7 linked regions of the Oryctolagus cuniculus genome follow. The protein of the gene in region 2 interacts with the protein of the main gene of each other region in a pairwise test. Links are inferred from orthologs where the notes say so. Each region holds a gene or a part of one and is shown on either strand. Other genes may lie near its edges.

The links.
Region 1: the proteins of USHBP1 (region 2) and UBXN11 interact in binary tests that used the Homo sapiens proteins (3 or more experiments, as listed by UniProt). The two-hybrid records come from large-scale screens. The link is inferred for Oryctolagus cuniculus from reciprocal best matches to the Homo sapiens genes USHBP1 and UBXN11.
Region 3: the proteins of USHBP1 (region 2) and CCDC120 interact in binary tests that used the Homo sapiens proteins (3 or more experiments, as listed by UniProt). The two-hybrid records come from large-scale screens. The link is inferred for Oryctolagus cuniculus from reciprocal best matches to the Homo sapiens genes USHBP1 and CCDC120.
Region 4: the proteins of USHBP1 (region 2) and SERTAD3 interact in binary tests that used the Homo sapiens proteins (3 or more experiments, as listed by UniProt). The two-hybrid records come from large-scale screens. The link is inferred for Oryctolagus cuniculus from reciprocal best matches to the Homo sapiens genes USHBP1 and SERTAD3.
Region 5: the proteins of USHBP1 (region 2) and COPS4 interact in binary tests that used the Homo sapiens proteins (3 or more experiments, as listed by UniProt). The two-hybrid records come from large-scale screens. The link is inferred for Oryctolagus cuniculus from reciprocal best matches to the Homo sapiens genes USHBP1 and COPS4.
Region 6: the proteins of USHBP1 (region 2) and CCDC146 interact in binary tests that used the Homo sapiens proteins (3 or more experiments, as listed by UniProt). The two-hybrid records come from large-scale screens. The link is inferred for Oryctolagus cuniculus from reciprocal best matches to the Homo sapiens genes USHBP1 and CCDC146.
Region 7: the proteins of USHBP1 (region 2) and CCDC33 interact in a two-hybrid assay, tested with the Homo sapiens proteins (2 studies listed by BioGRID and IntAct). The two-hybrid records come from large-scale screens. The link is inferred for Oryctolagus cuniculus from reciprocal best matches to the Homo sapiens genes USHBP1 and CCDC33.

Annotation. Positions count from the first base shown.
Region 1 is NC_091438.1:145,170,679-145,174,905, reverse strand, and holds the start of UBXN11 (UBX domain-containing protein 11), read right to left. Parts: upstream 2,801-4,227; 5' UTR 2,686-2,800; coding exon of another isoform or gene 2,649-2,685; intron 2,635-2,648; exon of another isoform or gene 1,573-2,634; intron 1-1,572. UniProt on the Homo sapiens protein: May be involved in the reorganization of actin cytoskeleton mediated by RND1, RND2 and RND3. Promotes RHOA activation mediated by GNA12 and GNA13.
Region 2 is NC_091447.1:65,254,492-65,258,230, reverse strand, and holds the end of USHBP1 (harmonin-binding protein USHBP1), read left to right. Parts: coding exon 1-97; intron 98-224; coding exon 225-361; intron 362-547; coding exon 548-688; intron 689-764; coding exon 765-920; intron 921-1,012; coding exon 1,013-1,262; intron 1,263-1,487; coding exon 1,488-1,712; intron 1,713-2,345; coding exon 2,346-2,443; intron 2,444-2,620; coding exon 2,621-2,743; intron 2,744-2,996; coding exon 2,997-3,192; 3' UTR 3,193-3,239; downstream 3,240-3,739.
Region 3 is NC_091453.1:34,200,861-34,204,841, forward strand, and holds the start of CCDC120 (coiled-coil domain-containing protein 120), read left to right. Parts: upstream 1-1,181; 5' UTR 1,182-1,552; intron 1,553-3,981. UniProt on the Homo sapiens protein: Centriolar protein required for centriole subdistal appendage assembly and microtubule anchoring in interphase cells. Together with CCDC68, cooperate with subdistal appendage components ODF2, NIN and CEP170 for hierarchical subdistal appendage assembly.
Region 4 is NC_091449.1:13,879,284-13,883,427, reverse strand, and holds the start of SERTAD3 (SERTA domain-containing protein 3), read right to left. Parts: upstream 2,801-4,144; 5' UTR 2,667-2,800; intron 1,752-2,666; exon of another isoform or gene 1,380-1,751; intron 1,136-1,379; exon of another isoform or gene 988-1,135; 5' UTR 979-987; coding exon 385-978; 3' UTR 1-384.
Region 5 is NC_091439.1:82,801,268-82,804,767, forward strand, and holds part of COPS4 (COP9 signalosome complex subunit 4), read right to left. Parts: intron 2,290-3,500; coding exon 2,138-2,289; intron 1,223-2,137; coding exon 1,119-1,222; intron 1-1,118. UniProt on the Homo sapiens protein: Component of the COP9 signalosome complex (CSN), a complex involved in various cellular and developmental processes.
Region 6 is NC_091434.1:141,755,154-141,758,653, reverse strand, and holds part of CCDC146 (coiled-coil domain-containing protein 146), read right to left. Parts: intron 2,880-3,500; coding exon 2,751-2,879; intron 2,336-2,750; coding exon 2,198-2,335; intron 1-2,197. UniProt on the Homo sapiens protein: Essential for sperm flagellum biogenesis and male fertility.
Region 7 is NC_091443.1:109,375,177-109,379,363, forward strand, and holds the start of CCDC33 (coiled-coil domain-containing protein 33), read right to left. Parts: upstream 2,801-4,187; 5' UTR 2,409-2,800; coding exon 2,388-2,408; intron 148-2,387; coding exon 1-147.

The sequences.
Region 1 (4,227 bases), on a different chromosome or scaffold from region 2:
CTTGTCTCGAACTGGCATCCATATAGGATGCCAACATCGCAGGTGGAGGCTTAACCTGTTACGCCACAATGCGCGCCCCACTAAATAAACCTTAAAAACAAAACCAACAAACAAAGAAGTCTGGGCTCTGGGGCTGGCTTGTGGTATAGCAAGTAGAGTTGACGCCTGCAATGCTGGCGTCCCATGTTGGCGCCAGTTTGTGTCTCAGCTGGTCCACTTCTGATTCAGCTCCCTGCTGGTGGCCTGGGAGGAACAGTGGAGGATGGCCTGTGTGTTTGAGCCCCTGTCACCCACATAGGAGACCCAGAGGAGGCTCCTGGCTTCAACCTGGCCCACACCTGGCTACTGCAGCTGCCTGGCAAGTGAACCATGGATGGAAGACCTCTCTCTCTCTCCCTTTCTCTGTGTAACTCTTGCAAATAAATAAATAAAATTTTTTGAAAAGCCACAAAATCATTAAAACTATGACTAAAAACAAAAGTCTGGACTCTGGGCCCTGGAGTGGGCATTTAGCCTAGAGGCCAGGGTCCCTACTTCCCACACTGGAGTGCCTGGGTTTGCTTCTGGGCTCTGGCTCCCTGGGAAGCAGCAGTGATGGCTCAAGGAACTGGGTTCCTGCCTCCAACATGAGACACCTGGATTGAGTTCCAGGTTCTCAGCTTCAGCCCTAGCTCCGCCCTGCCTGTCACAGGTATTTGGGAAGAGAACCAGTGAACGGGAGTCCCCTCTTTCTCTCTCTGCCTCTCAAATAAAGAAGGGAAAAAGAACTTGGGCTCTGGACAGGTTCTGTCACCCCCTGGCACAAGCTGCACCTGTTTCCTTTGTTGTAAAATGGGGATAGCAGGAACAGTGACAGCCAGGCAGGGATGCGGATAACACAGAGCACCCAACCCTATGCCAAGCCCAAAGGAAGCGCTTAAAAAATGAGTTGTGAGGGCCGGCGCCGCAGCTCACTAGGCTAATCCTCCGCCTGTGGAGCCGGCACCCCAGTTTCTAGTCCTGGTTGGGGCGCCGGATTCTGTCCCAGTTGCTCCTCTTCCAGTCCAGCTCTCTGCTGTGGCCCGGGAAGGCAGTGGAGGATGGCCCAAGTGCTTGGGCCCTGCACCCCATGGGAGACCAGGAGGAGACGCCTGACTCCTGGCTTCGGATCAGCGCAGTGCACCAGCCACAACGCACCGGCTGTAGCGGCCACTTGGGGGGTGAACCAACAGAAAAAAGAAGACCTTTCTCTCTGTCTCTCTGTCTCACTGTCTATCTCTGCCTGTCAAAAAACAAAACAAAACAAAACAAAACCATGAGTTGTGGCTAAAAACTCAGACAAAACACACCCATTTGTGTAGGCCCATGCAGGGTGAGCGCCATCAGCGTCACTGTCTCCCCTCTCCAGGGCTTCTGGGTGATAGCACCATGGAGCTGTCATCTCCCTCGACAACCATGCCTGCGCCCAACACCTCCCGAAGGACTTGCCTGAAGCTGTTTCACAGTTAACTTTTAAATTTAAGAAGTAGGAGTACGCTCTGAAACACATACACCAGTAGCAGTCATTTATTATCGTGATCAAGCAGTACTTACTGTACATAGTTGCACCTGCTATGCCTTTATATGGCGGCAGCGCTGGCATCACCACAAAGGCTGTGAGGACGTGGTGCCCATGATGTTACCATGGTTACCATGTCACTAGGCGGTAGGATCTTCTCAGCGCCAATACAATCTTACGGGAACACCCTTGTCTATGTGGCCTGTCATTAGCCAAAACGCCCTATGTAGCGGGTGACTGGAATGTTACACCCCGTTGCTTAGGGAACACTAACGAGAAAAAGACGTCCACACCTTGGAGATACAAAAGGCCCGCTGTGCAGACTAAAGTATTCCAAAGTGACTGACGTTCACACAGTAAAGGGGTGAATTTCAGTAAAGCCGTTAATCGCTTTAAAAAAGGAATTCCACCCTTGTTGTGGGACCCCATCATCCAACCACAAAATCCCATCCGTTACCAAGCCCTGGAGTGTCGCCCACTGTCGGTCACCCTGGTGGGACGCTCACTGGCCGGGGGCTGTCACGGTGGTGGCCGCTGGCCGCCAGCCCGGTGTCTGGATCCATCTTCATGTGGATTACAAAAGACCCCCCGCGAGCAAACACTGGGTCTCCCCATCAGTCTGCGGGCTCCCAAGGGCACGGCCGTGTCGTCTCCCGCCCAAGCTTGGGGCTTCCTGGGGACACAGCCCTGTCTCCCCCGCTTCGCTCTCGGGCTTGCAGGCGCTGTCTTCCCCTTCGGACCGGAATTTCTGGGTAAAGCTATGTTCGGCGCCTCGACATGCTGGGGACAGAACTCAGTACCGTGCATGACTGACAGTGTCCTCCGTCACCCCCAGGCCCTAGGGCCTGCCGGTCTTTCGCCTCCACTCCCTAATCCCAGTGGAAAATGCACGTCCATCACGGCTTAACCCTTCCCAGGCGGCCGCGTTGCCTCCTCCCGCTTCCACACGTAGTCGCCGTAAGCGTGGCCCCCAATCCGCTCGAGGGACGCAGGACGCCTGCTGGGAGTGGGGCAACCCCGCGGGGCTAGAGGGCCCTCGGGGCTCTCGGAGCGAGAGCTCGGGTCTGCGTAGGGGTCTCCTGACGCAGGAAGGCCTTGGGCCGGGACTCACCACGCAGGGCCAAGGAGCCGTCCCGCGGCGCCGCCATCTTGTTGTCACGCGGTTTCCCTGGCGACCAAGACCCCTTCACTTCTCATTGGCTACTTCGAAAGGGTCTCTGAACAACCAGCAGGCAGCGAAGGCGGGTTCAGTCGCCGGTGCTCGAATGCTATTGGCCCGCTGGTCTAGCCTCTCTGGGTTGGCGGGGGGGGGGGGGACACTAAAAATCCCAGAATGCACCGCTTGGATGAGCCGCTTCGGGTCTGCGGAAATGGTGCTCGCTCCTAGGTGCTGCTCCGGAGACGCCGCGTGGGGAGAACCTGGGGTTCGGTTAACGAAACTGCTGGAAGCCTCTGAGCTAACTGTGTGACCTCCACGGCGCCATTACTGTGCTGAATTGATCTTGGGGAGAATTCCTTCTCCCTCTGAGTCTCTGGCTTCCCAGAGATCGGCGCAGTACTTCGAAGGGGCTGTTTTGAGAATGAAGTCAAACGAAGCAGGTGCTTCATAAACGTTTCTTTCTTTTCTTTATTTTTTTTTTAATTTAAAGATTTATTGATTTATGTGACAGGTGGAGTTAGAGAAGTCTTCCATCCACTGGTTCACTCCCCAAATGGCCACAACTGCTGATGGAAGCCAGGAGCCAGGATCTTCTTCCAGGTCTCCCACGTGGGTGCAGAGGCCGAAGTACTGGCGCCATCCTCCACTGCTTTCCCAGGCCTTAGCAGAGAGCTGGATGGCACGTGGGGCAGCTGGACCAAGGGGCGCCCACATGGATGACAGCACTGCAGGGGGAGGCTTCACCTCTGTGCCACAGTGCTGGCCCCCTAAACGTTTCTTTCTCGACCAGACGGCGCCCTGCAGAGGCTCAAATGCTAGTTCCTCTGCGTAAGAGTGGGGTCAGGCACTCCCCTCGCCCTCCCAGAGCCGCCTCTGTAAAATTTAGGTTTTACAAATCAGATTACATTATGTCACCAGGGCCATCGGAGGCCGTCTAGCTGAGTATGGGCTTTGGTGCCAGGAGTCCTGACGCCCATCCCTACCTGTAAAATGGGGATGAAAACCACCCCGCAGGTTTGCTGTGACGTTAAATGAGAACTTGCATCGTAAGAGAAGGACGTTTTCATAAAGCATTTCCTGCTGTCATCGTCATCGCCTCTTGAGCCTTCCAACCTTGATTTGCTGGGACTCTGGGTTCTGGTAGCTCTAGGGAAAAGTAAGAAGAGCCATAGATTCCTTCAGAACGCAAGTTTGGTTTTTTAGAAAGATTTATTTATTTGAGAGGCGGAGTTACAGAGAGAGGGGGAGGTCTTCCATCCACTGGTTCACTCCCCACATGGCAGCAACCGCCAGAGCTGTGCCGATCTGAAGCCAGGAGCCAAGAGCTTCTTCTGGGTCTCCCACGTGGGTTCAGGGGCCCAAGCATTCAGGCCGTCTTCCACCGCTTTCCCAGGCATTTGCAGGGAGCGGAATCGGAAGTGGAGCACCTGGGGCTTGAACCAGTGCCCATTTGGGATGCCGGTGCCACAAACGGAGGCTTAGGCTACAACACTACAGCACCAGCCTCCAGAATACAAGTTTGTCTCTCTCA
Region 2 (3,739 bases):
GCTGGAGCCCCTGTCTCCGCGCACCCACAGCCACGCTGGAGGCTCAGGGAGTGGTTCTAGCAGTTCTGGGGCGGATGGGGAGCCCTGGGGGGGTCAGGTGAGTGCGAGAGGCGCAACCCGCAGCATCCAGGCAGGGGAGACCCGGATCCTGGCTCTGGGGGGTTGCATGGCCCTGGGTTCTCGGTGGCCATCTGGCTGGCTCAGGGCACACGTCCTCCCTGCAGGACTCCCTCTCCCTGGCTCACCCGCTGCTCCGGCGCATCCGGAGTGACTCCAGTGTGCACATCCTGGGCTCTCTCCCCTCGCGACCCCTGGCCCCCGAGATGCAGATCCTGGAGGCCCAGATGGAACAGCTCCGCGGGTGAGCGCCACCACTGCTGAGCTTTTAAGGGCACCGGCCGCTGTCCTGCCGCCCCGGGGATGGGCGTCTAAGCCCCGGGGATGGGCGTCTAAACGGGGTAGGAGCGGGGTGGAAACTGGCCCCTGGCTGCTCCCCCCCTCCAAAGAGTCCCCTCGTTTTCCCTCTCCCTCCCCCACCCCGAGACAGAAACATCGAGAAGCTCAAATGCTTCAACCGGCTGCTACTGGCCGTGCTGCAAGGGCGCAAGGGCCGGTGTGAGAGCCTCAGCATGCGGCTGAGCCAGCGGGAAGCCGAGGCTACAGCCCTGCGGCTGGCGCTGCAGGACAGGTCAGGGGAGAGGTCCCCGCGGGGGAGGGGCCGCGAGCCACGGCGTGGGAGGGCGCTCAGGACCCCCGTCCCGCAGTGAGCACCGTGAGGCCGTGTGCGCGGCTCTCCTGGCCCTGCACGAGGCCAGCTCCGGAGCGCGGGACTTGGAGGCCACTGAGAGGGAGGCGTGGCGGCTGCTGGCACAGGAGGAGGGCGGCGCAGACGCCGCGGCACCGCGGAAGGCACAGCCAAGGTAGGCGCCCGGGGACCGCGCTGGGCCTTGGGGCTCCCCGGGGCTGGCCTCCGTGATGGCCTGCGGCACCCACTCCTCCTCTCCTCCCGCAGCCCCGAGGGCAGCAGTGTGGATAAACCCACACCGCAGGAAGTGGCCGCCCTGCTGCAGGGCTATGCCCGGCGTCTGCGGCAGCGCCAGGCTCTGGTGAAGACCCCCCCAGAGCCGGGCCCCACCGTGGAGCCCACGCCCACCATGCCCCACGCAGAAGCCATGGTGCAGGCCATGCTGGAAGCCCAGCCCGGCCCGGCCCTGCCGCGGTTGGAGAAGATGGAGATACAGAGGGAACTGGTGGCCACACGGGTACACAGGGGCTGTGGTCCCTGGGGGGGGGGGGTCAGAACCGACAGAGGTGTGGTTGGGATGGGGAGGGGGAAAGGTTCTGCTGGGCTGGGAAGGGCTTCCTGGAGGGAGAATTGAAGCTGGGGTTTTGAGGGATGAATAGGAGTTTTGTTACTCACAGACCTCTCAATCCAGTTTTTCCCAAACGTGCTCGCCAGCCTCAGTTTCCCCTCCCCGACCCCTCAGGAGACCCTGGCGGACCTGATGTTGCAGCTGCAGCTGGTGCGGCGGGAGAAGCGGGGCCTGGAGCTGCGGGAGGCGGCGCTGCGCGCCCAGGGCCCCGCCCACGCACTCCTGCTGGAGCAGCTACAGTGGGAGCGCGCGCAGCTGGGAGCCGCGGGGCCCCACAGCGGCGCGGGGGACAGCAGCGGGGCGGGCAGCAGCGAGGAGGAGGAGGAGGAGCGGCCCCAGGTGAGCGGCCCTTCGGGGGTCGCTGCCCTTGGCCCCTAGGGGTTCAGTGGATGAGAGAGAGAGAGGGAGAGAGGTCTTCCATCTGCCGGTTCACTCCCCACATGGCTGCAAAGGCCGGGTCTGGGCCAGGAGCCGGGAGCTCCATCCGGGTCTCCCACGTGGGCGGCAGGACCCAAGCCCTGGAGTCGTGGGCCCCTGCCTCCCAGGGGGCGCATGCGCAGGGAGCTGGGGCGCACGCAGATCAGCTGGGACGCCACCAACACTCTGATACGGCCACGGCTGTCCCAGGCAGCAGCCCGCCCCGCGGTGCCACCACACCGCCCCTGCCCCAGGCTTCTAAACGGGGCTCTTCGCATCACCCCTCCCACCTGCAAGCCGGTGCTGCCACCAGGAATGTCCACCGTCTCCAGGAAGCCCTCCTGGGTTGCCCTCAAAGGAGCAATATTCGGCACCCCACCCCACCCCGGCCCTGTGACTTATCTCCCTTATCAGGGACTTGAGGGTCTCTTAGCAGAATGGGGGCTCTGGGAAGCGAGGGGCTCTGGCTGCCCCCCCCCCAGGCCAGCTTCTATGCCCAGGCTGGGCTGAGCACTTCTAGACAGAGGTCACCTCCCTCCCTTCTGTCTCCTACAGGGTCCTCCTGCTGTCCCCAACGCCACCGAGGGAGGCCAGGTGGGCAGGGCGTGGGACCCGGAGAGGTTAGCCCAGGAGCTGGCCGCTTCGCTCGCCAGGTGTGTGCCTGGGTGGGTTCTGCGGAGGAGGCGGGGGTGGGGACGTGTGTGTGTGTGTGTGTGTGTGTGTGTGTGTGTGGTGTGGCAGCGTGCGCCTGCGCGCAGGGGCGTGGGGAGCGGAGAGGAGGACCGGGTCGGGCCGCGGCCGGAGCCCCGCTGTCTCCACTCCCGCGCCAGGGCCGCGGATCTTCGCGCTCAGCTGCGGGCTCTGTGGCGGGAGCTGGAGCAGGTGGCTCAGAAGGGGCGCGTCCGGCGGGCTCAGAGCGCCGAGCTGAACAGCGATCTATGCAAGGCGCACAGGTGGGCCGCCGCCCCCCGCAGCCCACCCCTGCTGACCGCGGGTGTGTCCCTGGGCCTCGTTCCCCCCACTTGGAAGATAGTGAGCGGGTGCAGTGCAGGCCACGCCTTTCCTGCAGGATGCCCGGAGCCAGCTAGGACGTAGCCCCGCCCCCGCGGCGCCCCGCCCCGCCCCCGCCGCAGCCCTGGGTGGGGTGGGGGTGCTGTTCTCTGGGGTGGGGCGCTGTTCCCCGGCTCAGCCACCCACACCCTGCAGTGCCCTGGTCCTGGCGTTCAGAGGCGCCCACCGGAAGCAGGAGGAGCAGCGGCGCAAGTTGGAGGAGCAGGTGGCAATCCTGGAGGCCCGGCAGGCGGAGGAGTTGGCAGCACTGGAAGCCACGGCCCGGGCGCTGGAACAGCCCGGGTGCCCCTGCCCGCCTCCTCCCCCCCAGCTTGGGGAGACCTTGCTGTAGGCTCCACCCCCAGCCACGTGTCATAAACCGGCCTGGAGTGACTTGTCGCCCTGGGGTGCATGTGTCCTCATGGGTGGGGACCGGTTGCCTGGGCCACCGGGGTCAGGCTGTGAAGGTCATGGTCTCCCCCTCCCCCCCCCGGGACCCGGAACAATCAATCCAGGGGACAGGGAAGGTGGCAGAGCCCGAGCTGATGTCCCCAAGTCCTTTCTTTGTCCAGAAACCCAGGGCGGGCCCCTGGGGACAGGACACTCGTCCCCTGCCCATCTGCTTCCCAGGGAACAATCCAGAACAACTGGAGGCCCCCAAGGTTGGGGTTCAGGTTCAGGTTCAAGGCGTGGATGGTCGGCTGGAAGAGGAATCAGGGTTTGTGGAGGCTGAGGGCAGGCATCAGAGAAAAGTCTGGAACTCTCGATGCGTGTCCTTCCGGGGAGGGGGTGGGGCACAGGCCTGCCGGGCCCTGGGCAGCCTGGGAGCTTCCAGATCTCCCGCGGAGGTTGGGGGCAGCGGGAGGCGTTCCTGCCAGGTTAATTGCAGGCGACTGATT
Region 3 (3,981 bases), on a different chromosome or scaffold from region 2:
GGGGTTCTGCAAGGCAATTTTGTGAGGACAGGAGGGGAGGTCAATGGAAGGTCATTTGATGGTGGTGGAATCCATAGAGCATGGTTTGGAGACAGAGCAAGTGACAGTTGGAATTGATTTGAGGTGCGAGTGACGCCCACATTGAGGGTAGCTGGTAATATTTGGAGTGGTGTTATGGACTCTTGCAGAGCCAGTAGGGGATTCATAGTGTATGGTTGGAGGGTACATGGAGAGTGGTTTGGGATCAATGGACAGTGTTTTGGGTGCACATTGGAGGCATTTGGAGGATGATTTGGAAGTGCTGTTTGAAGGCTAATGGCTTCAGGGCTAACTGCAGACGGTTTGAGGAACAATTTGGGAGTAATGGAAGGTAGTGTTTTGGTGCGGTTTGGAAGTCCATGGAGGATGGATTGGAGGTACTACTTAGGATCAATGGGCAGTAATTTGAAGACATAATTTGGGGGATAATGAAAGATAGCTTACTGCGTCCACTGATAGACCTTGAACAATTTGCTGTTGTTCTTTTGGTTTGCACCAGGATGTGAAAGAAAAATCCCTGCACTTTCTCTTTGTGACAGCCTACATTGAATTGGGGAATACATTTAAAGAAAAAAGAAAGAATGAACGAAAGATAGTTTGAAGATTGAAATTCAGAGATAAATGGAGAGTGATTTGGAGATTGTGGGAACACAGTTGGGGGTGCACCAGGAGATTCTATAGGTGATCTGGGTGTAATTTTGATAGTCATGGAGGGTCATTTAAGGGATAAAGGCTTGGCGTCAATACAGTGTGATTTAGGCACAGCTTGAAGGTCAATGGGAGGTGGTTTATTGGTGCAGCTTGGATGTCCATGGAAGATAAATCAGAGGTCCTGCTTCGGATCAGTGGACAGTACTTTGAGGGTGATGGAGAGTGGTTTGGGGTGCATTTGGGGATGGCGACAAGGAAAGCTGGGAGAGTTTAGAGGTGTGGTGATGGCTTATAGAGAGCAGCATGGGGTACAGCTTGTACCGCCTAGGGGTCCGTGCAGAGTGACTTATGGGGGGGTGCCTATCTGCTCGCCGAGGGGGCGTGGCCATGGCAGGGCTGGGGGAGGACTCCGCCGCCCTAAAGAAAGTCTGTGCGCACGCGCTCCCAGCCTGTTCACTCCTGGCGCTCCCAGGGCAGGAAAATCGAAGAGCCGACCTGGCGCCTGCGCACTTCGTCCTCGCCGCTGCTGTGGTCTCGCGCCCCGCCCCCCGCACCCCCCACCCCGAAGCTCGCGTTCAGCGGCGGCGGTGGTCGTGCCGCCGGGAGCGGGCGGACCCGAGTGCAGGGTGGGGGGCGGGGGCCCAGCGCCGGCGGCTTGGCCGGCGCTCCTCTCCCACCCCCCGGGTGCCCCCCGTCTGGCCCCACGGTAACGGTCGCGCGGCTGAACGCGGCCCACGGGCAGGGCGCGGAACAGGAGAAGGCGCGCGCCCGGGGACGAGCAGGGCGCAGCGAGGGACGGGCGCGCCCACTACCCCTGCCGGCCTGCACCGACCCCGCCTACGCCTCTGGGTGAGGACCTTCGGTGAGTAAGACCCCCGCACACACTTGGGGAGCAAGGGAGGGGACTGGGTGGGCTGAGGGCCCGGAAACGCTGGTGAGGATATACCTGCGCTGGCATTCACGACCTCTGACCCCGTGGCCTCACCCCTGACCCCCTCTGACCTGACTACATGTTATTGAGATCTCGAACCCCAGCCAGCTTTGGCCTCAGGACCTGTGGTCCAACCCCTAACCTAACCACATTCTGGGGTGGTGGGATCTTCATCCTCTGTTTTGTCCCCCTAAATCCAGTCAGGACCCCAAACCCCATCCAGTTCTGTCCTTAGCATCCTTGACTTGATCTCTGATTCTTGATTGAGCCCGTCTCAGCTTTGAGGCTCATCTTGTTATGTCCTGGTGCTTGACCTTAACTCTTACCCAGTCTCTGAACCTCCGCCCCTCTTGTTTCCTTAACCCCAATCTGATCCAGTTTTGTCCTGATTCCTAACCTGACGTAGGTACTTTCACCCTGCCCTGTACTGTGCCCCTGGTCCCTCTCCTTACTCCAGTCTCCATCCCAGCTTACCACCTGTATATGTCCCTCTCTGTCTCCTGCTCTGGCCCCAATCCTGTCCTATTTTTCCCCCTTTTCTTGTCCCATCACCATTCTCATTCCAGTCCTCACTCTCTCCTGGTCTTTTCCTGTTCCTGACCTCTATCCCTAACCTGCCCTTTTTCCTGTTCCCTCCCTTGACAACTGGCTTCTGTTCTGTAGGGATGCTGTCCCCCGCCCTGCTGTTTTGTTGTACTTTGCCTCTAACCCTGTCTTGAATCTTAGCCATCCCATCCCCTGAGCAGTGTTCTGGCTCACTTCCTGTCCTGCCTCTTGACCTCCATCCCAAGATGTTTCTGTCTTGTCCTCTGTACTCCTTCCCTTCCTGTCGCTTTATCCCATCCCAACCCTAGACCCCTCTTCCACACTCTGTCAGATCTCCCTCTCCCTTTCCTAATACCTACTTCCCATCCCCTCTGAGTTCAGGGCAGGGGTCCCATTATTCCCTGCCCATAAACTTGAAGGTTCTACGGGTCTTAAGACCTCTGAAGTACATCACAAGTGCTTTCCTTAGCGTGAAGAAGCAGCCTTGTGAGTCTTGTGTAGCTGATAGGATTTTTGTATGGGATTTCCCACACCTGCACCCCAGTGATCTCACATAGACCTTGCATTTCTCGCCCTGCCCTAGGAGGGCCTGGAACTGTTCATCAGCCCCCTGCCCTCCCCGGGTGTGAAAGAACACCTTCAATTATTCATTGATTCTCTAGAAGTTGGAGAGTCTGAGAGGTCTGCGTCATGTTTCCAGCTGTGTTTTGTTGGGGGGCTGCCTCACGTTGGGAGGAAGGGTTTACAAAATATGCAGGACTGAGGGCCCTAGGGGTTTGTCTGAATCTTCTAGATCATGTTACCTCCATCCCTGACCTTGATCCTGGGTGTGGGATCCCTTACTTTCCTCCCCTAAAAAAAAAAATCTATTCTAGGCCAGAGGCTTCAGGACTTGGTAGGGGTTTATTCCCCTTTTCTTGGAAGTGAGCAATAAACATCTTGGTGCTAAGTTCACCTCATCTCTGGGAGGCTGGTCTGGGGAGGTGGGAGACAGGCAAGCATTGGATTGAGAGAGTGAGGTCTATCCAGCAGTAGCAATGACAACAATACCATGAGCTTCCTTCGCCTTCTCTCTTCAGTCTCCTTGATTCTGAGGATGGATGAGGAGAAGTTAGAGCATAATATGTTACTCAATTATGTCTTGAGCTTACATTTTTTTTTAAGATTTATTTACTTATGAGGCCAACAGTGTGGCGTAGCAGGTAAAGCTGCTGTCTGCAGTGCTGGCATCCCATGTGGGTGCTGGTTCCAGCCCCGGCTGCTCCTCTTCCGATCCGGCTCTCTGCTATGGCCTGGGAAAGCAGTAGAAGATGGCCCGAGTCCTTGGGCCCCTGCACCCACATGGGAGACCTGGAAGAAGCTCCTGGCTCCTGGATTTGTATCAGCGCAGCTCCGGACATTGCAGCCATTTGGGGAGTGAACCAGCGGATGGAAGACCTCTCTACCTCTGCCTCTCTATAGCTCTGCCTTTCAAATAAATAGATAAATCTTAATAAAGATTTGAAAGGCAGAAAGAGAGAGAGAAAGAGTGAGAGAGATATCTTATATCTGCTAGTTTACTTCCTAAATGGCCGCAATGGCCAGGGCTGAGCCAGGCTGAAGCCAGGAGCCAGGAACTTCTTTCAGGTCTCTCATGTGGGTGCAGGGGCCCAAGGACTCGGGCCATCCTCCACTGCTTTCCCAGGCATATCAGGAGGGAGCAGCTGGGACTCGAACCAGCACCCAAATGGGGTGCTGGTGCTGTAGGTGGAGGCTTAACCTGCTGCACCACATCACTGGCCTCAAGCTTACATTTTTCATAGAAGAGTAGTGAG
Region 4 (4,144 bases), on a different chromosome or scaffold from region 2:
GCCAGAGGCAGAGACTGGGTTTCCATGGCAACCTGGCAGCACATCCCTGCCCCCTCTGATGGGCCCAGCTTCATCTGCCCTGAGGGCGCCAGGGGTCACAAGAGGAGCAGGAAGTGGAGGGAGAGGCAGAAGAAATGTGTAAGTGGGAAATCGGACTCCCAGAGGCAGTCCTGGTTAAGGCATTTGGAAGAGATAAATTAACTCAGGAAGACGCACCTTCACAGAAGGCTGCGCTAACCAGACACACACACATGCAAGACTGTTTGTGGAACCCTGACATGGGAGGCGAGGGGGCCACAGTCCCTGCTTTGAGCCCCCAGCAAAACACACAGAGTGGTACCCGGGGATCCAGCCCGCCCAGAGGAAGGCCCCCCAGTCAGTGTCTTAGGACCCCAGAATGATCTCCATGATGTGATCCAGTTCATTCCACTCCCAAGAGCCTGGTGCACAGAAGAGGTTGTGAGGGGGCTCCGGCGGGGCCAGTGCTGGCTCCTTCTCCACCGCAGAGGTGTCGATGTCCAGAAAGAAGTCGTCCAGGCTCGCGTCCCCCAGGTACCTGGAGCTCAGAGCCTCTAGGAAGACCGGATCCGGCTGGGGCAGCACTGGATTCTGCAGGCCCGGGGGAGCCGGGGGGCCCTGCGGGGCTTCGGTCTCGTCCATCGAGGTCTCCAGCTCCCTGAGGATGGAGCCAATGGTGGCCGACAGGGAGAAATCCTCCTCGCCCAAGAAGAGGGGCTCGGGGGGCAGGGTGGGCGCGGGGGCCCGGCGGATGGCGGCCTGCAGCTGCTGGAGGGTGTTGTGGATGAGGACATGCCTGCGGAGGCTGGGGGCGCGCGGGCCCAGGCTGCGCTGCACTTTGTCCAGAGAGATGCGGAGCAGGGCCTGCTGGTAGCTCCGAAGGCCCGCTGGATTCCAGGCCCACTGCTCCTCCTCCTCCTCCTCCAGATCGGAGTGTTTCCTCTTCAGGCCCCCCACCATGACGGTGCCCTGGGGAGGGAAGAGGGTCAGGTCAGACGCACCAGGGCCGGTTCCAACCCCGCGTTCTCTGGCAGGCTCACGCAGCTGATGGTGAATGTTTTAATGACCGGAACCTGTTTACTCATCTGTAGAAGCGAGAGAACCTGAACTCCACAGGCTAAGGAGGGGAGGAAAGTGATCAGGATGCCAGCAAAGCTGGGCTCGGATCCCCCCCCCCGCCCCCGCCTGTTGCCCTCAGTGACCCTGCATCCCCCTCTGTGGAACAAGGTCCTAACTGAAGTCCTTCCGAACCCTAGAAACCGTTCTTCCACAACTCTCACTTCTTCAGGCAAGTCACCCACAGACAGGCGCAGAGACCTGGACTGCAAGTGGGGAATCCAAGTGGGGAATCCCGGGCTGACCTGTGCCCTGGACACTGCTCAGCTGCGTGACGCTGGCCTCAGTCTCCTCGTCTGTAAAACTGCTTCTCACCGCCTCGTCTGGGAGCTCCCACGTGCCCAGGCCCAGCACACACAAAGCGCTCAGGCGCCACTTACTCCGCTGAGTGCGTGTCCCACAGAGCTGCCTGGAGCTCCGTTAGGGCCCCTCCGAGCCCTGACTCTTCTCTCGCAGGCAGGGCATTTCTGTCCATGCCCTCTTCCCTAACGAACGGACGCGCTCACGAGAGGGGAACGAATCATCCCCGCTCCCCGCGCTCGGGCCTTCCCCCACTGCGCGCCCCGAGGAAAACTCGCCGCCACGAAACTTAGCCAAGCCCCGCCCCCGGGGGCCCCAGCCAACCAGACCGTGGCGCCGCCACAGGCCCCGCCCCTCCCACGGCTTCAGATCGCCGCGCAGGAACGCCCCTTTCTGGCCCGGGGGCTTCTGGGAAGCCCGGGCCAACAGCCGCCAGGTAGCGGCACTACAGTCCCCAGAGGGCTCAGCTCGCCGACCGGAGGACGGCCCCGCCCTCCCTTAGGGCATGCGCAGAGGGGCCCGGCCGGGTGGGGGATGGGAACCCGGACGTCCAGCTGCCGGGCGCCTGCCGCGCCCCGCCCCTCCGGTGCCTCCACGCCCGGAGCGCCCCTCCCCCACCCACTCTGCGGGTTCCGCGGATCCCAGTTCTCCCCCCCACTATCCCGGGGTGCAGGGACCCAGGTCAGAGACGACGAGCGCTCTCCGACCCGGCCGGTACGGGAGACGGCGCGCCCTAATTTTGAGGCACACCCCCAACTCCGTCCTCTCACTTTCCAAACTCCGCGTCCCGCTTCAAGCCCCGAAGACCGAGCTCTCTCCTCAGCGCCCTCTGCCCGCCTCTGCGTCTCGGGGTCTCCGAGAACCCCCGGCTCTAGCCGGTCCCCTTGCTTCTCCGACTGCTCGGTGTCCCAGCCCTGGAAGACCTCTCACATCTTCTCCCAGGAAGCCACAGAGCCCCGAATTCAACCCACCCGGGAGTCCAACACTGTCCTAGTCCTCGGATTCCCTGCCCCAAAAGTTCCTCGCCTTGGTTCTCTCGCTTCTCCAAACATCTCGAGTCGCAGCTCAAACTCTCGCCCCTTGAAAATCCTGCCTAAAGCATCTCGCCTCCCGTCCAGGGTCCCCCAGCCCCTACCAGTCGCCCTCCATCAGCGCCCTCCTCTACTGCCCAGGCCCCGCCTCCACCGCCCCCAGCCCCGGGTGTGGTTCTGAGCCGGGCGGCCGCCGCTCACCTCGGCTACCAGTTCGCAGCGACCAGCTCCGTTCCGCCCGCCGCGCCGCGCCCCACCAGCGCCGGGTAGGAGTCGCGCTCGCTGCCCCGGGGCCTCTCCGTCTGGCCTCGGGCCCGCCCAGCCCGGCCCCGGAGCCGAGCCGCGAGCTGCGATTGGCTGGAGCCTGCCCGCCGCGGCACGCCGATTGGCTGGGCGGAGCCGCCGCGGGACTCCCGAGCTGCCCCCGCCGCCCGCCCCTCGGGAGCGCCCAGGACCATTTAAAGGATTCCGACTCGGACGGGGCGGGGCCACGTGTGGAGGGAGGGGGGGGCGGGCGCACCGAAACCGCTCCCTGCAGCTCAGCCCCGGCCCTCGCTCCCGGGCCGTTAGCGCTGCTCTCTGCCGTCCCTTCCTGTCCAGCTCGGACCGGTCACCCGGCAAGACCGGCTGCTACGCCGCTGTCGGCTCCGCTTTCCGGGCGGGCGGGGCCGAGTCACTCGCGGAGGCCACGCCCCCGAGGCTCCGAGCCCGGGCGCGGCTGGGCGCTGGGGGATGACGCAGCTAAAGGCCAGCCAATAGTTAGGCGCGGCCTGCGTTGCCTGGGTGACCGCGGTCCCGCCCCTCCCGCACAGCCGGGGGCCTCCCGGTCCCCAGGACTCAGCGGCACGTCCTCTCGTGGTCTCTCCCTCTCTCAGGGGCTGCTCGCGGCTCCCCGCTGCCCCAGAGGCAGAATCTAAACTCGTCAGCCCCGAAGCGTTCCCGGTCTGTCCTTCGCCCGGGTTCGCTGCTAGTTTCTGTGAAATGGTTTCACTCGGGCTTCGTTTCCGCGTTCGCAGGAATTTTGTCTTCCTTCCCTGCTGCACCCCAGGGGCCTACAACAGCGCCAGGTGCACAGCAAGCCCTCAACATGGAGAGTGAAAGGTCTCCGGCTTTTTTTCCTTTTAAAGATTTATTTATTTGAAAGGCAGAGTTGCGGAGAGTAAAACAGACCTTCCATCTGCTGGTTCACTGCCCAGCTGGTCACAACGGTGAGGGCTGGGGCAGGCCGAAGCCAGGAGCTTTGAACTCCACTTGGGTGTCCTGTGTGGGTGGCAGGGGCCCAAGTGCTGGGCTGTCCCCTGCTGCTTTCCCAGGCGCATTAGCAGGGAGCTGATCAGAGGCGGAGCAGCCAGGACTTGAACTGGCACCCATATGGGATGGGGCACTGCAGGCGGTGGTTTAACTTGCCACGCCACAGCACTGGCCCAGGCCTCGGGCTCTTTAAACTTGTTTCCTCACGCTGAAAATGTGCCCTCGGTTCCCAGGTGCCTCTCACTGGAGGAACTCAGCTCAAAGGTCCCCTCTGGGGAGCCCTCCCCGGCTCCTCTGCCTGTGTCTCCCCCACTGTGGTCCTGGGCTGTCACTGTGTGTGCTGTGGGTCCCCTAACAACAGGCAGCACGGGTATCGTGGTCACCCACTGCTTGGTGTGGACGCTGGGTTGCTCAGCAGGTAGCCAGTG
Region 5 (3,500 bases), on a different chromosome or scaffold from region 2:
CTGCTCCTCTTCTGGTCCAGCTCTCTGCTATGGCCTGGGAAAGCAGTAGAACACGGCCCGAGTCCTTGGGCCCCTGCACCCACGTGGGAGATCCAGAAGAAGCTCTTAGCTCCTGGCTTCGGATTGGCGCAGCCCTGGCCATTGCAGCCATCTGGGGAGTGAACCAGCGGGTGGAAGACCTCTCTCTCTGTTTCTACCTCTCTCTGTAATTCTTTCAAATAAATAAAATAAATCTTTAAAAATAAAAGAAGAAGATGGCAGAAATACTTGGGTCTCTGCACCCACATGGGATACTGGAAGAAGCTCCTGGCTCCTGGCTTCAGATAGGCTCAGCTCCAGCCACTGTGGCCATTTGGGAAGTGAACCAGCAGATGGAAGATCAATCTCTCTCTCTCTAACTCTGCCTTTCAAATAAATAAATACATCTTTAAAAAAGATTTATTTTATTTGCAAGTCAGAGTTACAGAGAAAAAGGGAGAGACAGAATCTTCCATCCACTGGCTTACTCCCCTAATGGACACATTGGCTGGAGCTGGGCCAGGCCAAAGCCAGGAGACAGAAGCCTCTTCTGGATTTCCCACGTGGGTACAGAGGCTCAAGCACTTGGACCATCTTCTACTGCTTTCCCAGGCACATTAGCAGAGAGCTGGAATAGAAGTGGAACAGCCAGGACTTGAACCAAACCCAGATGGGATGTGGCACCACAAGCGGTGGCTTAAGCCACTACATCACAGTGCCAGCCCCTTCCTTATTCTTCTTGAAAATACATGTTCCCATCTTAGGGCCTTTGCATTAACCATCTCTCTGAGTAGCCAGTGATGTGCTTCCCTCAAATAGCTCTAATCCACTACCCTCTCTCCTTCAAATCTTTGGGAAAGTGACATCAGGACCACCCTACTACCCAATTTAATGATATATACAATCTGTCCCCTCTTTTCCCCTTACTTTTCTCTGTAAGTAAGCATTTATCTTTTAACATACTACAAAATTTACTTATAACTTGTTTATCTCTTTCCTGTATTAGAATGTAAGAAAAAAATGTAGGTAAATAATTATATATCCTATATGTGTGTATGTATATGTATATATATTCATTCAATATCCACTATTTACTATACTTTTGTCCTGTTTCCAAAGGAATTCCCACCAACACTTGGGCTGCATTTCTCCAATCTTCTTCTTTCTCATATATAGATGCAAGATGCTGCCTTATGGAAGCAACCTGAAATAGAAGGTATACATGTTAAATTACTTCAACCATAACTCATTAGTCAATTAAAATAAATAGATGATAAACTAATCCATTTTGACAATGCTCTTATTCAACATACAGGGTGGCAAATCAAAGTTTATCTAGACCACCCAAATTTTTCTATGAATTTCGCATTCACATAATATCAAAGCAGTGAAATGAAACAATGCATTTCTGCAATGTGAGTTATGGTAATATTTTAGTTTAAATGTTAAAATTTGCTTTTATGTCTCTGCATATAGGATGTTGAAGTTTCCCGTGTGTAGTCTAATAACAATTTTTTATACTGACTTTTTAAAACTGTTTAAAGAGTAATATTTGACTGGTAAGATCAAATTTTAATATATGGGCAAATGTCAGGTGGAATTGCAAACATTCTAATATTTATTAGATTTTACACTGTAAAATGGTGGTAGACAGGACTAGCACTGTTAGCACAGTGAGTGAAGCCACTGCTTGTGATGCCAGCATCCAATATGGGTTCTGGTTCATGTCCCGGTTGCTCTACTTCCAATCCAACTCCCTACTAATGTACTTAGGAAAGCAGTAGAAGATAGCCTAAGTGCTTGGGACTCTGCACCCATGTGAGAGATCCAGATGAAGCTCCTGGCTCCTGGCCTCAGCCAGGCCCAGCCCTGGCCATTGCAGCCATTTGAGGAGTGAACCAGCAGATGGAAGATCTCTCCCTGTCTCTCCCTTTCTCTCTCTGTAACTCTGCCTTTCAAACAAATAAAATAAATCTTTAAAAGCAAAAAACGCTGGTTGAGATTCTATTTCATCAAATATCAAATTGCACAATTATCTCCATTAGGAATTTAATAGCATCAGATTCTCAAAGCAACTGCCGCTATCTCAAATTCAAAAACTGTTGTTCTAGATTCTTACCTGCTCCTCAAATGAAATGACTCTAGGCTGGATCTTTTCCAAGGTAAAGTGATAGATTTCTTTGGCTGTGCTATCAGGCAGGTTAGGCAGATGTGTGCAAAAATCAGTCAGCAACTGTCGTGAGATCACAAGACTGACATTCTCATTTACCACTGTTTAAAAAGAAAGAGATAAGAAAACATGAGTAATTTATAAATTTTCATTAAGCAATCAACCCTTACCTAAAATTAATAATGAAAACATATCTGTATTAGTGTAACCTTCAATGTGTTATTCCAGGAATTCCATACCCTAATCATCTTATACTGTAACATGTCACAAATCAAGTTTCCTTACACTGAATTACTTGATTTTTTTCTGACTATACTGAAACAGTAAAGATATCATAACTTCTCTAAGCAAAAGAAATGTCAGGGAAAAGGTTTTATTTAATAACTGAGACTTTTATACCATTCCTTTCTCTTAATTTTCTATAATATTAAGGCACAGAAACACCTACATCTTTTTTTATATGCTGACCCCCCATCCAGTTCCAAAAAAGAGTAAAAGAAGAAAACAGTGATATAATTTTCATGAAATTTAAATGAAGCAAATGCTGCGAGCACACTTAGTGTCATTTGTATTTTCCTAATAAAAGCAACACATAAGGAGGCACACAGCAGTTAAGTTGCTGCTTGGGAAACCTCCATCCCATATGGATGCTTGGTTTGAATCCCAGCTACTCCCTTACTCCCTCCCTCCCTCCTTTCTTTCTTTCTTTTTTTGACAGGCAGAGTTAGACAGTGAGAGAGAGAGAGAGACAGAGAGAAAGGTCTTCCTTTTTCTGTTGGTTCACCCCCGAAGTGGCCGCTACAGCCGGCACGTTGCAGCCGGTGCACTGTGCCGATCCGAAGCTAGGAGCCAGGTGCTTCCTCCTGATCTCCCATGCGGGTGCAGGGCCCAAGGACCTGGGCCATCCTCCACTGCCTTCCCTGGCCACAGCAGAGAGCTAGACTGGAAGAGGAGTGACCGGGACAGAATCCGGCGCCCCAACCGGGACTACAACCTGGGGTGCCGGCACCGCAGGCAGAGGATTAGGTGCAGCGCAGGCCACTACTCCATTTCTGATTCAACTTCCTGCTAATGCACATTCTGGGAGGCAGATCATGGCTCAAGTACTTGTGTCTCTACCACCCACATGGGAAATCTGGATTGAGTTCTAGGCTCCTGGCCTATCTGGTTTAACCCAGGCTGTTATGGGCATCTGGGAAGTCCACCAGCATTGGAAGATCTCTGTCTGTCTGTCTCTGCATTTGAAAAATAAAGAAAAAAAATTTTAAAAAAAATTTTAAAACAATCAATATCAACTTTAATCAATACTAGA
Region 6 (3,500 bases), on a different chromosome or scaffold from region 2:
TGTTTTCTGAAGGAATGAATGGACCAGGACAGATTGGGGAAGCTCATTTTCATGCCCCAAACTATCCCTACCTTTCTCTCTTAATAGGCATACGCTGGTCATAGCTGCACATCTGTTGAGAGAAATGTTGGTGTTGGTGCATTCCTGGCCTCTGAAAATGTAGTAACTGATTATTGTAGACAAACTCCCTTAAGGGAGCAGGGAATATAAATTTTTATGACTGTTCTGCTTGGAACTGATTTTTTTTTTTTTTGACAGGCAGAGTGGACAGTGAGAGAGAGAGACAGAGAGAAAGGTCTTCCTTTGCCGTTGGTTCACCCTCCAATGGCCGCCGCGGCCAGCGTGCTATGGCCGGTGCACCGCGCTGATCCGAAGGCAGGAGCCAGGTGCTTCTCCTGGTCTCCCATGGGGTGCAGGGCCCAAGCACCTGGGCCATCCTCCACTGCACTCCCTGGCCACAGCAGAGAGCTGGCCTGGAAGAGGGGCAACTGGGACAGAATCTGGTGCCTCGACCGGGACTAGAACCCGGTGTGCCAGCGCCGCAAGGCGGAGGATTAGCCTAGTGGGCCGCGGCATCGGCCCGGAACTGATTTTTAAGGAAGCATGTACTGAGTGAAAAAGACTTGTCCTGTAAAGCCTCAATGCTAAGTCATTACCATAAATCTAATTCAGTTAATGCACTTGTGTGTCTGTGTGTGCAAAACTGGCCAACCTCCTTTTTCCTCCATAAATTCAAATAAGCTTGGTATCAAGTTCTGAGACTTCCCATATTGCTGTTCACCTGGGAAACTGGCACAAGGAGCCATAAGCTATTTAGGAAAAGTGATACCCCTAAGTGGCTAAGGACACTTACATGCTCAGCTATGTAAGACTTGCAACAGCTTTAGCTCATATCACACCCATCTCACAGATGAGGAAACTGAGACTTCAGATCATTCATAGGTCTAAATGTCTTTCTACTACTTGCCAGTTCTTCCTACTATGAAGAGATTGTGGGTGGCGAGCAGAGGCAAATGGAGAGCATGGAAGTTGGGGGAGGAGAGAGGTTAATCAGAGGCTCGGACTCAGCTCGCTGGGAGCGTCTCTGGCAGCAAGCGACCCCTGTTTCCATTTCTCTAGCATTGTGGCTGCCTCCAGAGAGATTCCGGAAAACGACTTCCCCAAAGAAAAGGAAATTGACTCTGCAACAGGAAGACAGATGACGCTTAAAGAAACACGGGCAAGGCTGATTCAGGCAGCGTTCCTGAGCTTAAGCACACTTAGCATTCCTGATTTCACGAGGGAGAGTTGTGGATGACGCAGCAGCCGCTGGGATGCATGATCAGCGGAGGCCGTGAGGGTTGAAGTCCAAGGGCGAAGGGTGGCCAAGGCAGCCCGAGGTTTGAAGTCATTTTCCGGGTAGTTGCTGGAACTGTTCCCGGAACAAGACTGCCTGTGTACGTGTTCAGTGGATTTGCTTCCACGTCTTGGGAAACCAGAACAATGAGAGATAACGGCTGCCCTTAGGAGCCCATAGCCTGGGGTGCGAGCGTTACCATTATGTCTTCACAAGGCCTCTGGGGGGTGTGTGCGCGCGCACGCACACACATGCGTGGTCAGGCTCAGCCTGAGGGAGCAGGCACGAGTGTGTTCAGTCACTATGATATCGCTGGCTTGCAAGGGCTGGGGGTCCACCTGCTCTGGGGTGCACGGTCTCGGGACACTGCCTCCCAGTCCCCAGCCTTTCTCCCCCTGGCTGTGTCCTTCAGTGGAACTTTCTATCGGTTCCTCCTCGACCCTGTGGCTTGGAAGCCCGCGTCTTGGTATTTTAAGGTTATTCAAGGAGGAAGCGCCATGGGACTGACCTTTCCTTCCCAAGGGGGCCCGGTGGTCCCTCCCCCACCCATGGTGTGACTGCCGTTTCGTGACCAGTCCCCGTCCCCTCCCCCGTTGCTGGTTCGGGCCGAGTTCTGGAGCAGAGCTGCTTGGTTGGATGGGAAAGGGAGGCCTTCCCGCCACTAGAAAGCACGTGAACTGGAAAGGCTACAGGGTCATGTTGGAGCAATTATCTTGCTGAATCAGACTCCCAAGCTGTTACCGCAAAGCTTAGGTTTTCCTACTAGCAAGTGAATCGAGTCAGCAACTGAGATGGGAGCTTTTTTTTAGGCAATTCTCTAACCGAGGAGCGGAGCGGAGGGAGGGGGCGGGGCCGGCAGACCTTCTTGGCCAAGAGCAGCGTGTCCTCCTTGCAGGCCTGAGTTTTGCTGCACAGCCTGTCCGTGAGCCGGGACACCTGTTCGTAGATGAAGTCCTTCTCCAGTAACTGCTCCTCCTTTTTGGCCAGCCGAACTTCCAGCTACGGTCGAAAAACAGTTTTAACAGGAAGAGAGGAGGAGACACGTTTGCTGAAAGACCTCACGGGTATCCCCCTTCCAGATCACTCTAGGGGTCCTGCCCCGGGTGGGGTAGGGCTCTGCTTAGTCCCTAGCTAGCACCTGTGTCTTTCAGCTCTCCTGCTATTGGTCCCTGGAGAAAGGCAGCTGAAACCATTCTAGGGGCCAGAACCACTCCTCTGGGGCTGTAAGAGGAAGGAACCCTTGGACTCTGGAAACCACTGGATTTTTGCCTTCTCGCACTACGTGGCTGAATCAAGTTGGGACATTCTCCCCTGTGAGCTGAGGGTAGGCCTGCCCGCATGACACGCAGCCTCTGTGGGACTGCAGGTGCCAACGAGGGGGCACGGGGAGGTGATGTCTAGCAGCGACACTCACCTCATCTAATTTTTCCATTATTTCTTCTTCGGTCATATCCTTCCCCGAGAGGAAGCGGGTTCTGTTCTGACCCTCAGGATTTAGAAACTGTTTCTCCAGGTGTTGGATTCTGTCTGTACACTGGGAGAACTGGCAGACAAGAGAGAAGCAAGCACTATTAAAGAACAAGCCTACAGCTCAGTGCATCTTCAAGGCACACAGCCCAGGCCTTGAGGGTCTGAGCAGGACCCACCCAGGCCAGGGTGGGAGAGTGAGCCAGCCCTGTCTTCTTCCCACGCCCATCAGCTGGGCCCCTGGCAAAACTCGGCCTCCGCTCTGCTCACTTAAGGTGCTGTGAGGCTGATACCTACAGTTGGCCAATAGGCAAGGGAGGACTTTCGGGACCATCAGAGGAAGTTGAGTTCCCATTACGTGTTCTACAAGGGTACTTTTAAAAGTTCAGGGAAAAATGGAATCGAAAGGTAAGTTTTCTTCAATTGCAAATTTTCTTTAAAAAAGAAAACCATGCATTGTTTAGCATAACCTACATTTTTTAGAAATGTTTTGAAGGCCACTCAGATTTGTGGGATGCTTTGTGGTTGCAGGGCTCAAATTACACAGCCAGCTGGGCTTTGGGCTCAGTGGTTAACACACCTGGGTCCCGGGGCAGAGTACCTGGGTTCAAAACCCAGCTCATGACTCCAGCTTCCTACTAATGCAGGCCCTGAGAGGCAGTGGTGACGGCTCAGTAACAGGACTCCTGCCACCCAT
Region 7 (4,187 bases), on a different chromosome or scaffold from region 2:
GGGCTCGGAGCCGTCCCCGCAGGCAGGCAGGTGGGTGGCCCCGTGGATGGTGACTGCGACCACCTCCTTATTGAGGGGAGCCAGGTGGCTGGCGGTGGGCTCCGTGCTCAGGGCGACGTCCAGGGGCTCCTTTGGGCCCTCGGCAACCTGCGGGGACAGCAGCATTGAGTGGCCCCCCCTCCGCTCTGTCCCTCTGTCCCCTATAAGCTGCCAGTTCCCTCGCTCTTCCTCCACCTGCTCTGGGGCGGCACGGCTGTCACCTCCGATCCCCGTTCTCTCCCCGGTCCCACACCACGCGCCACATCAAGCGGCCGGTCAGTCTCTCCCATGCGCTCAGCTCTGCCCACCCGTCCCGCCAGGTCCCTCCTGTGCACAGCACTTCACAGTTTACAAACGTCGGCCACCCCCATGCTGGATCGCACACAGCAGACACGCAAAAAGCCGGAATCAGAAGTGGAGCCAGATGGGATGTGGGCGTTCCCAAGTGGCGTTTTAACCAGGTGCCTGCCTCTTGCCGGGAGCTTTGATGCCCAGGTAAAGCCCCTTTATAGCTGGGGGTGGGGCACTCAGAGAGACAAAATCCCCGCCCCCAAGCATACAGCAGGGCCCGCCGCAGCGGAGCGGGACCTGGAACACCTGTTTGCAGTTGGGGCCCATCCTGGGGTCCGCCTCATGGAGGCCTCGGAGCTGTGATCTTCGGGAGGGCTGGCGGCAGCCAGAGCAGTGGCCTGTGTGGCCAGCACTGTGGCATAGCGGGGTAAGCTGCTGCCTGCCACGCCAGCATCCCACAGGGGTGCAGGTTTGAGTCCCGGCTGCTCCACTTCCGATCCAACTCCCTGTTAACGTGCCCAGGAAAGTAAAAGAAGACGGCCCGGGGTGCCCAGGCCCCTGCACCCACGTGGGAGACGCAGAGGAAGCTCCTGGCTCCTGGCTTCAGGTCAGCCCAGTTCTGATGTGGGCATTGGGGGGTGATCCAGTAGACGGAATCTCTCTCTCTCTCTCTCTCTGTAACTTTGCATTTCAAATAAATAAATTCTTTTTTTTTAAAGGGACTCAAAGCAGGAGACCATCAAGGGCAGTCTGAGGGGTGGGATTACATTTGAAATTCCCCAGAAATTTCTAGAATGGCTGCAATTCACCACAATGCAGAGAAAAGACACGTGGGGGCAAATAGGCGCCCTGTCTACAAAAAGACCAATGTCCCCAGTCCTCAGGGGGTCCTGAGCTCCGCGAACATCACCATTAAAAGGTGTGGGTCAGGACCGGCCGGGGAGCGGCAGGGTGCAGCTGGAGCCCGGCGCAGCGCGGGGAAGGCCGCCACCTTCGACCGCGTCCCGGCTGCTCTGGCTCCAACCCAGCTCCTTGCTAGTGAGAAGGTGGCAGGTGCTGACCCAGGCAGTTGGGTCCCCGCCACACGCGTGGGAGACACAGGTCCAGTTCCCGGCTCCTGACTCTGACCTGGCCCAGCCCGTGTTGTAGTCCTTCGGGGGAATGAGTACATGGAAGAGCTCTCTCTCTGCCTCTGCCTCTCAAATAAACAAAATAAATCTTTAAAAAAAGGCAGGAAGATGTAACCCTCGCTACACATTAGGAAGCTCCTAGGGAGTTCCGGCCGCTGTCAAATGTGTTCCCCGGAACCACGAATCACACTCGAGGCCACGCTCTGCATCCCTGAACCCAGCTTGGTGGGGAGGGGGCCCCAGCCGACAGCTTAGGGTGCCTGGGGGGGCCTGCTCTGGGCACGGCAGCCCGGAACCAGAGGCGTCGGAATCCAGGGTTGTGAATGTAGGTGCCACAGGGGGCTCTGGCCCCCCCGGGAGAGCCCAAGTGCAGAGGGGGTGTCCCTAGGTGCTCAGAGCCCTCAGCCCCGCCTGCTGCCACGCGGACATGACGCTGCTGTCCCAGGCTCGGCAACGCGGAGGACTTGGTCCCACCCGAGATTCTGGATGTTAGACCTGCGCTCGGCCACAGGGTTCATTAAGCACCTGCTGTGTGCAAGGCGCTGGGGACACAGCAGTGAGCACAGCACAGCTCCTTCTCTCCAAGGGCCCAGGGCAGGAGCTAGGAGCCTGGGGCAGGAGCCTGGAGCCTGGCAGCCAGCCCTGCCAGGGAGGGACCCGGGGGAGGCCCCATCTCAGGGGGCTCTCTGAGCCCGTGTGACCCCAGCAACCAGCAGTGTGGGCAGTGGTAGCCAGGTATCCACTGGCCCATGGTGCTAGGACACCCACCCTGGAGGCACCACAGAGACCCTCTGGGGCCCCATTTCACAGATGCGAAAGCTGAGGCTGTGAGAAGGGACGTTGGTGCGCAGGCTCGGGAGTCGTCAGAACGAGGGGCTGCATGCGAGGGGCAGTGTGCTGTGCACACACCGTGCACCCCCACCTTACCTTTTTCTTCTTCAGTCCCATCGCCTCGGGGGCAGGGGCATCCAGCTTTGGTCAACAACCCTGGGGAAGGGTCCCTGGTGCTGTGAGTGACCAGGCGTCCGTCCTGCCTGGACAGCTGGCCCTGCAGCCTTGGTGTCTTTGGGGGTGGCAAGTGGTGCTGGGCGTCCCTGCGCTCACAGGGGTGCCAGATACCAGTCCTGGATCTGAGCACGGGGCAGGGGTGGGGCGCAGGTTGGGGGCAGGGGTCCAGAGCTTTCTCAGGAGCGAGAGGGGGTGGAGGTGGGGGCGACTTGGGGGATGTGGGCCATGGCCAGCTGGGCAAGGGTCCCCAGCCGGGCACTCGACTCCAGGCGCCCTCAGGAAGGTGATGAAAGGGGAGGCCCTCTCTCTGCCCAGACCTGGAAGAGACCCGGCCAGGTCACCTGGGCAACGCTGTGTGATGTCACAGGCCAGGGCCAAGTCACACATGCCCCTCCGCAGGTGCAGGGGGTGGGCTCAGAAGCCGGAAGCTACGGGTGCTGGCTCAGCAGCGCGGGCAAATCTGAGTGGTCTCACAGCTTCGGCCATGGTCCTGTGCAGCAGGGATTCGAGGCTGCCGTGAGGGCCCCGTGAGACCACGCGGGGGCAGGCGCTGCACTTGGCACCGACAGTCTCACCCTTGGCACGCGCTCACAGCTTTGCTGCCACCAGCCCTGGCCGCGGCAACCAGCACAGAGTCTGCTGAGCCCTCTCCCCAGCCCCTCCCCCCTGTGTGGGAGTTCACACCCTGTAGGCAGTGAGTGCTGCCCCCTCGCCCGCCCGCTGCCCACGCAGTCCCCTCCCTCAGGGCCCCCTGACCAGGAACGCCTCTGCCTTCTGCCAGGAGCCCCGCGCCTGGACCTGAGCGCCTCCGGTCACCTCCCCGCCCCTGCTGTACGGCCTCAGCTCATCCTCAAGTCTATGCCCCCTCCCTCGAGGACGCACGTGTTCGGGGGACAAACACTCGCCAGGGTCACCCACTTGGGAGTGGCAGGGCCGGGCTTCTGCGTCCAGGCCTGCTGGCTCCAGCCTGTGACCACTGAGCCTCACTGCCTTTTGCTTTCACTTGAGGGAAAGGGGCTGTGTCTCTCTCCTTCCTCCCCTGCTCCACCCCCCGCAAGCTGGGCCAAGCCCAGAGGTGAAAGCCGCCAAGCTCTGAGACGGCGCAGCCCCGATGCTGGCGGCAAGGACAGCAAGGTGGCACAGCCTGGAGGCTCTGCTGGGTGGGCCCCTGTTAGCGGGTGCAGACACGGGGCATCTGGGGTGGGCCGGTGACATCCAGCCAAGCCCCTTGGACGCCAGCTGTCATTTCAGGGCCGTGGTGGGATCCTGGAACCTCTGGGGGGCTGCCCTCTGACCTCCCCGGGGTTCCTGTACAGGGGTGACCTCTGTGAGCTTGGCGAGTGGCTCTTGGCCTAAATGCGTGAGCGTCTGCATTTTGCACAGGGCATGCTCTGTGCTGGTCCTGCCCAGGACGGCCTGGTACCACCAAGTAGGCAAAAAACAAAAAACAAAACAAAACAAATGCTGATGGCGTAGAATCCAGCAGACTGGGCTCAACCCTGGCTCTGCAGGACAGGTGAGCATTTGGGGGCAGGGTCCTTCTAGCAGACTCCCCGCCGTGCAGGACACCACCTGTGGTGGGCGCCCCGTATGAGCCCACTGTCCTGTTCACCACAGTTCACACCGACAGGGAGCCCCCACGGCCCCAGTCTTGGCGATGGGGGCCTGGGGCTGGCTGCCGAGGGCGCGGGCTCTTGGAGTTGGCCGCACCACGGACAC